Kluyveromyces lactis: one gene and its partner. The protein of the gene in region 1 interacts with the protein of each later gene in a pairwise test. Links are inferred from orthologs where the notes say so. Each region holds a gene or a part of one and is shown on either strand. Other genes may lie near its edges. The genes, in order: NAB6 and PAP1.

Region 1 (4,450 bases):
TTCTTGTTCTTCTTCTCTATGTTCTTCTCGTTCATCCTCATTGTCACTTAACACATGCCTTCTTTCCGCTTGAGGTGAAATAGATATTCCAAGTCCCTCACTGAAATCTGCATCAACCCCTAACGATAAGAAGTTCTTATTATCCATTGGGCGATCCAACTTGCCATTTGCTATAGAAGCATTCGCAACTGAAGAATGTTTTAAGTCAATGTTTGATGCGTTAGAAAATGTTGCACTCTGCTTACGTTGTCTGTGGCCCCTACTTGTGTTATTGTTTTGTGAGTTACGATTATGATTGCTACCTTTGCCGTTTTTGTTGAAGACCAAATTTCTGTTAATATTACCACATCTGTCCTTGCCGTACCCTATAATCAAACCCACATATCTTCCTTCAGTCTTTTTATGGAATAGATTATCCTTTGTGTCGGAATATTCTTCAACCAATTTTATAGCACTGCTAATGTTCATGAAATTTATCCAACAACAATGACCGTCTGAATGGAAGTTGACCTGTTCCATGGTACCATAGGCACCAAAATCAGATTTCAATTGTGCAATATTTGGAATCTTGTACCTATTTTGGTACTCTTTGAACTGAGGGTCGTTTATGAATTTATCCTTGAAGGCCTTATCAGGTAAGCTGACATAAACATTTCTCGATGCACCAACAGTAACTGCCAGAGCGATATTCTTAGGTAATGGACCAGGATTCTGACCCCAACCAACTTTTAGGACATTCCCATGTAATATGATTGGCTCAAGTGTAGTATTCGCATAAAACTGAACTGCTGCGGCAGTTTCGATGAATGTTACAAAACAAATCCTTTTATGAGATACCCATTTAATATGCTGCAAGATACCACCACGAACAACGTTACAAATGTCCTCTGCTTTAGACCTTGGGTTAATATTTCCGATATAAACAGTTCTGTGTTCCATGCCGGCATTTACCGCTTGTATGCTTTTGGAATATTGATTTTGTATCGTTTGAGTGATCTGGGGTGGCATTAATGGTTCCATAATATAAGGATATTCGTTAAGTAACATCTGTTGAGGAACAGGGTCATGACTAGAGATGGATAGAGGATCAATGTCATCCGAAAGATTACTGGATGAGAAGTTTGTAGTTCCAGATTCATGCATATAGAGAGTCGTTGGCTTGGAGATAGACCACGAGTTTAAATGATGGTCAAATTCGTTTACAATGGGCTCTTTGTACTCAGAGACATCTACAATTAGGGTGGACCAAGTTAGATTACCATCAAATTCTTCATAGATCGGCGTACTGATATCTGTAGATGCTGTGCTGACTTGTTCCGAAAGAGGCAACGACACATTACTAGAACGAGAGCGAGAGCGAGAATCCGTCGAGAACATTTGAGGACTTGCTTCTTGCTTTAACGAAATGGCGCTGCTTCTTCTTCTTCTCATTTCCTTATCTGCCGAATTGGCAGGTGTCACGAATGACACTCTTGATACTGCTTCATCTCCGGTTTCTAACAGTTCTTTAACTTCTAAAGCCATTGTTACCGAGAGAAAATGGAGTAAACAATAATGTAATCCGAAGTTTTTTCTCCTTTCATCAGTAGTAACCACATCTACATCAATAACAACATATTTACCTGAATTCTTCAAAAACGGGAGTGTGTCCCAAATAGTGTCTGAAGTAACGCTATCGTCCGCAAACTCGACATAAAGGCTTCTAGTGGCACCCAAAGAAATAACGTTCATCTTCAAGTTGGCCATCCATTCCTCATCGTCTTGAATCTTAACGAAGTTCATTGCTAACTGGTCAGACTTTACTGCGTTTTTGATTTCAGCATATCTCTGTAATAAATTATTGTAGAAATCTAGGCATGATTCTTTTGTGAAGAAACTTAAAAGATATGACTGTTGTGAACAACTTGACGGAGAAATGGCAATCTGTTTGGTTAAAGCAGGGGCTGATTCCTTATCCTTATCATCCTCTCTCTTGCTATTGTTATTATTATCAGCATTATAATTTTGATTAGGATCATCATCATTATTACTAGTATTAAGGTTTTCAATGTCATCGCCGGTGTCCTCATCTTTGATCAAGTAAATGCTTTCTATTGGGTAATTTTTTGCAACTTTTTGTAAGAACTCGACAATATCTAGCTCAGAATTAACATTTGTAAAAAGCAACGATCTGCTTCTATAAGTATCATTCCCCTTAGGTAGAATGCTATATTGGAATTGGATTTTCAATTCAGAATCGATAGTCTTTCGTATTGATTTGGGACCCGAGCTGCCAGACATGGAACCTGATGTGGAAGCTGAAAAAGATTGAGATCTAGATGCAGATCTAGAGCTGTAACCTCTTTCAACATCATATTCTGCTTCCACTTTGTTATTGTCACGAGAATGTTCTCGTTGTTGCTGGGGTTTGTTATCTTTTCGTCTTGCTCTTCTCAATCTACCAGATGGTGCTGGCCTCAATTTCGGTGCCGGTGGGTAGAATGATTTATAGCTTGAATTACGCAAATTCATTATGTTATTAGATCCTACTGGGACACCATTCGCTCCAGTACCAGCAGACATAGGTCCACCAGTTTGTGGAGTGTTTACAAACGGCGATCCAACTAACAGATGACTCGGCAACAGTGTAATCCCATAAACAGGATCAAATGGAGTCTGAGGAATACTAACTGTTCCAGGAATACTTCCTGGTATAGAACCTGGCATAGAACCACCACGATGTGTGTAATATATATACTGCGGTGGATGGTGATTCGATCCACCATTTCTTCCTGCCACATCGTAGACCTGTTGTTCGTAACCAACAGGCGGTCTCCCATATATCAGAGAAGGCTGATAATGATTAGCCGATGTTCCCGAATTCATTGGGTTTATGTATGCACGGTTTGTTTCTTCTTCAACGTTTCAAATTCTTTAATTCCACAAACATTCAACTCCCCTCAACAATGCTGCCAAAAATAATGCGATGTACTATTATCTTGTTATCCACAATTGTAGAACACCAAATATCCGAATCGTTGGAAATCTTGACTTTAATTCTTCCTCAATCAGAAGTACCCACAACACAAACAAAGGATGTTGATCTCTGTGACTCGAAAAGCACGATTGCTATACAGAAAAAAAAAGGTAAAAAGTGCTTCACTGAACGCTTATTCCTAAAGAGAAACCGAGAAATTTCAGAACGGGATGTGATGATAACAGTAAAACGAGTACTATTGCTACAATTGTCTTTGCTACTTCACTTCACTTGTACTAATAATAAATCACCGGTCCTAAAAAAAGATACCAATTTAAACAAACAGTATTCCGATTAACTGAAATTGGCAGTCAAAGAAGTAACCAAAAAAGCGTAGAAGTGAAATCGCCAGTAATATTGTGGGCAATCAAGCGTGGAATGGTAGAGTTTAAATCCTCTTGCGGCTATTGTTATCTTTATAGGCCTAAATGGCAAATACTCAATTCTTTGGTCTCCATTAAGTCTAACTGTTCTCAAGTTCTATTTTCTGTAATAAAACTAAAAAGGTTTCAAGTGCAAAAACAATTTTTTTTTTTGGTCTCACTGTAAGACAGAAGACACCCTTTAAGAATGTATGGCAATAAATGTGGTGTTTGGGTGTATTAAACATACAAGAGAAGCTGAACCCTGTATGGAGGGTTCAGTTTCTCTACTTGTCCTTTTTTACGTGGGAACTAGTACCAAGTTCATGGCGACTACGACTATGATCTGGTTATCTGGTATGTTTACGAGTCGAAAAGTGTATATGTATTATTATACTTCTTATCCAATGCTATATACAGGATAGTACTTGGTAATGATAGTATGAAGTTTGTCCTGATGTCCTTCGGAAGCCTGGCTACTTTCAATTTCCATTTTGCCAGCGCAGCAAATCGGACACTGATGAATCACCAGCAGAATTAGGGTCTGACGATGATGCAGCGTTATTCCAACGGCGTCTTGGTCCACGGCGATTGGTGCTTGAAATACTATTTGTAACATTAGCACCACCGGTATTGGTATCCGAGTTTAGTGTGCTGTTAGGCATGCCAAGCATCTGATGTTGATGCAATCCCTGTGCAGAGGTTTGCTCTGGAATAGTCGGAGAATGCATGGAATGGAAACTTCCAACATTATCTTGATGATGGCTGTTTTGACGATCTGATGTGCTGGATTGCTTTCCCATTGGAATAGATGAGCTGTTGTGGGAGGGAGGGTGGTGAGTCTGCTGTTGGTGCTGTTGTAATTGAACGACTGATGCATTAGTAGAATCATTGTCGCCAGATTCAAGTACAATGCCTGTCGCAGGGTTCAAACCGTCATTCCCATTGTTACTATTCAATTGAGGTTTAGCGTCCGGAGACCAGGCTAGCAATGGTGCTAGCCCGAGTGATGCATCTGCAGCAAATGAGAAACCATCCATTGCAGGTTGGGCACGTTGTTTGTTCAGATTTA
Region 2 (3,789 bases), on another chromosome or scaffold:
ATTTTCGTTTATATATATGCATATACTTCCAATTGAATTATTGTTGGATAAGATTTACAGGAAATTGAACATACAATTTGCAAATTCAAGCTCGCTCATTCTTATGATTGGGGTCTTTCACGTAATTATTGATTTTTCCTGGGTCTTGAAATCGATTTTGAATTTTTCTGGCTTTAAAAATTTAGTACAAAATGAAATAATATAACAAAGTGTGAACTTTTGAACTTACTATACCTTTTATTTGGTTTGAGTGTGTGAACAGGAGAAGCTAAAGTTAAAACCAACACTACATATCCCTTTGGTCCAAACTTGCCAGTACCTTCAAATTGAACTTCTTAATTCTTTCATTCGCTGGACACTCCTGAGACAGAATTGGTAAAGGAAAGAAATAAAGGGAAACGGAATTCTCAGACAATACAATATTAACTGGCTGATTTTTTTGTCTACACACATATACACACAGTCTCTCTCTATCTGAATATAACTGGATAGTTTGTGCTAGTTACGTTTTTAGTTCAAATTAGTGACGAGCACATCTTTTGATATTGGTCACCTGTTACCAACAACAACAACAACAAAAGAAGTTAGTGTCAGACTCACAAATACTGAAAAAAGCCTTTGCATTGGAACTTTGGTGTATTAACTCTCGGAGATTATACACATCCGACACTTATTTGATTATCCTCATCACGAATTAACTTGTGAGGAGTACTTTTGACGGTTCTTTCTGATCTAGGAAGACGTAGCAAGTCAAAACTCATTCAGGTTGTCGACTTCAGTACAAGACGCACAGGTTTTCAAGGACACTTACGATAATTCAAGGACGGTGATTGGCGACCAGTTGAATTCAATAAGCTCGGATCTTGCAGGGCTCAAGGTTTCCGGTTGTGATATCACTTCTGAGGTAGTACTAGGTGCAGTAGGGCTAATAGAAGAAGAAGAGGAAGGGGGAAAAAGTTCAGAATCTGATAGTGTAGGATCATCTCCCTCCAGACAAAGAAACCGGCATTTAAATCTCAATACAAGCCGAAACACATATCAGCATCATTTGCAACATCACCACCATTATAATCAAAGACAGCAGCATCAGCAACAATATTTCAATCAGCCAGGGCTACATTACGTTTATTATTCACCGGCTAACTCACCAACATCGTCTCCAATCTCAAAGAAGTTTCAGAACTACATTCCAAGAAGACAATCCGCGGACAGCCTTTTAAATACCGGGGGAAGTGATTATCTGGATAGAGCAAGGAATAGAAATATACCAGATTACAGAAACAAATATTATCCCAATACAATGTCCCAGAAAAAGATCTTTGGTGTAACGGGCCCGATTTCCACGGAGGGTCCCACTGCTGCCGAAAACGCATTAAACGATTCATTAATTCAACAGCTTAAGAAAGAAGGCTCTTTCGAAACGGAGGAAGAAACTGGGAAGAGAGTGGCAGTATTAGAAATCTTCCAAAAATTGACACAAGAGTTTGTATATCAGGTTTCAAAGAAGAAAAACATGTCCGATGGTATGGCTCGTGATGCTGGTGGTAAAGTATTTACCTTTGGTTCTTATAGATTAGGGGTCCATGGTCCAGGTTCCGATATTGATACGTTGATTGTGGTACCTAAACATGTATCCAGAGAAGATTTCTTTACCGTATTCGATGCTCTGTTGAGGGAAAGACCAGAACTTGAAGAAATTGCGTCAGTTCCAGATGCTTTCGTCCCAATTATCAAGATCAAATTCAATGGAATCTCCATCGATTTAATCTTTGCTAAACTAGATTTACCCCAGGTTCCAATAAGTTTAACTTTAAGTGATAAGAATTTGTTAAGGAACGTTGATGAAAAGGATCTAAGAGCGTTGAACGGTACCAGAGTCACCGATGAAATTTTAGAATTAGTGCCTAATAAAACATCTTTCAAGATTGCATTAAGAGCTATTAAGATATGGGCAAAGAGAAGAGCAGTATATGCAAACGTCTTTGGGTTCCCCGGTGGTGTCGCATGGGCGATGTTTGTGGTAAGAATCTGCCAATTGTACCCTAATGCATGCAGTGCGGTAATAATATCAAAATTCTTTCAGATTTTATCACGTTGGAAATGGCCACAACCTGTCCTATTGAAGCCAATCGAAGATGGTCCTTTACAGGTCCGCGTGTGGAACCCCAAAATATATGCACAGGATAGATCCCACAAGATGCCTGTGATTACACCAGCGTACCCTTCAATGTGTGCTACCCACAACATCAGTGAGTCAACTAAGAAAGTGATCTTATCTGAATTACAAAGAGGTGTAGAGGTCACACAAAAGATTTTCTCTAATGAACTATCATGGGAAGATTTGTTCAAGAAACACGATTTCTTCTTCAAGTATAAATTCTACCTAACGGTTATGGTCTCAACAAAGGGTTCCGACGAACAACACTTGAAATGGAGTGGATTCGTTGAAAGTAAGCTCAGATTGTTGGTCCAAAAACTAGAAGTTTTACCAGGAATCAATCTGGCGCATCCATTTATTGAACCATACGAGTCCAGCTATATATACAATAATGAGGATGAATATAAAGAGATCATGAACAACTACGGTACACATAAGACAGAAGGTGTATTGAAAAAGTTTACAAAAATAACTGATGCAAACAAAGACGATGAAGCCTCCAAAAACTCTAATCAAGTTCACATAGCCACGATGTTTATTGGACTTGACATCAACACAGAAGAGAGTAAAAAAATTGATATACACATTCCATGTCAAGAATTTTTCAATTTGTGTCGCTCATTACCCGACTATGAGGACCCTGAAACGTATTCTTTAATCATCAAGTATGTGAAAGTGCATGACTTACCGGATGAAGTCTACCAAGAGGGGGAAACACGTCCTGTGAAATCCAGCAAGAAGAGGAAACCGGAGAAAAGTGGTGAAAAGAGTAAAAGACCTAAATCCGATCCGTCCAATGGCAAGTCTACTACTACTACCAGTGGCAACACCAATTCTTCTTCCCCAGTAAATGACGCTAATTCCACTCCATCATCAAATGTCCCAGCAAACAGTAATACCAATGCTATCACCGAAGACCCAATGACTGCGACAACATAGAAAGTCTTACGATCCGTTCATACTACCTCTTCAGGGTTCGCATAATGCATCATGGCCAAGGCAACGTGAGTCTCCCCTCAAGCCTTAGCCCCAGTCATTAACAAAAGTTTCTCTACATTGAACGCGACACATAAACTCAACTTTCCCACTAGATAAACTAAGTAAAAAAAAAAAAACGTCTCATATCACAGAAAAGAACAGATCATTACTATAATAGTGAAGCTGTCCGCCACATACCCCATTGTTTTGCATAAACCTACCATCTCTAATCTGAATATTTTTGTTCTATCATCAAATATGTTTAACTGGTACTTATTTTTAGTCAGCTATGTGCCTTATCTTGATACATAATTGACAGATGCGGACAAAAAGAGTCAAAGGAAAACCACAAGAGATAGAAGGTTAGCCAGTTAGACACTGATAAAATCCGAGAAAACAAGACGTTACCGATACCCGAACAGTATCATCTGGTTCAGCCGCTGTTGATTCAACAGGCAAGTTCCTATTTCAAGTTTAACTTACAAATACACCCATAGTGATGAAAGAAAGCCACACTTTTCAGTAAAAGAAAGAAGCAACGTGACAGAAAGAGATCGAGTAATGGGAGTGAAGGAAAAGAAACAAGAAGTTGAAATTTGAAGGTAACTTAGGTAACAAGTGTCTTGTGAAGGGTTTTTATCTGTCAAAGAGGT

The links.
Region 2: the proteins of NAB6 (region 1) and PAP1 interact in binary tests that used the Saccharomyces cerevisiae proteins (3 or more experiments, as listed by UniProt). The link is inferred for Kluyveromyces lactis from reciprocal best matches to the Saccharomyces cerevisiae genes NAB6 and PAP1.

The regions. Positions count from the first base shown.
Region 1 is NC_006040.1:127,766-132,215, reverse strand, and holds the start of NAB6 (Nab6p), read right to left. Parts: upstream 2,866-4,450; coding exon 1-2,865. Other genes in the region: DNA-binding transcription factor CAT8, read right to left, coding at 3,861-4,450. UniProt on the Saccharomyces cerevisiae protein: RNA-binding protein that associates with mRNAs encoding cell wall proteins.
Region 2 is NC_006038.1:1,161,450-1,165,238, reverse strand, and holds PAP1 (polynucleotide adenylyltransferase PAP1), read left to right. Parts: upstream 1-1,300; coding exon 1,301-3,097; downstream 3,098-3,789. UniProt on the Saccharomyces cerevisiae protein: Polymerase component of the cleavage and polyadenylation factor (CPF) complex, which plays a key role in polyadenylation-dependent pre-mRNA 3'-end formation and cooperates with cleavage factors including the CFIA complex and NAB4/CFIB.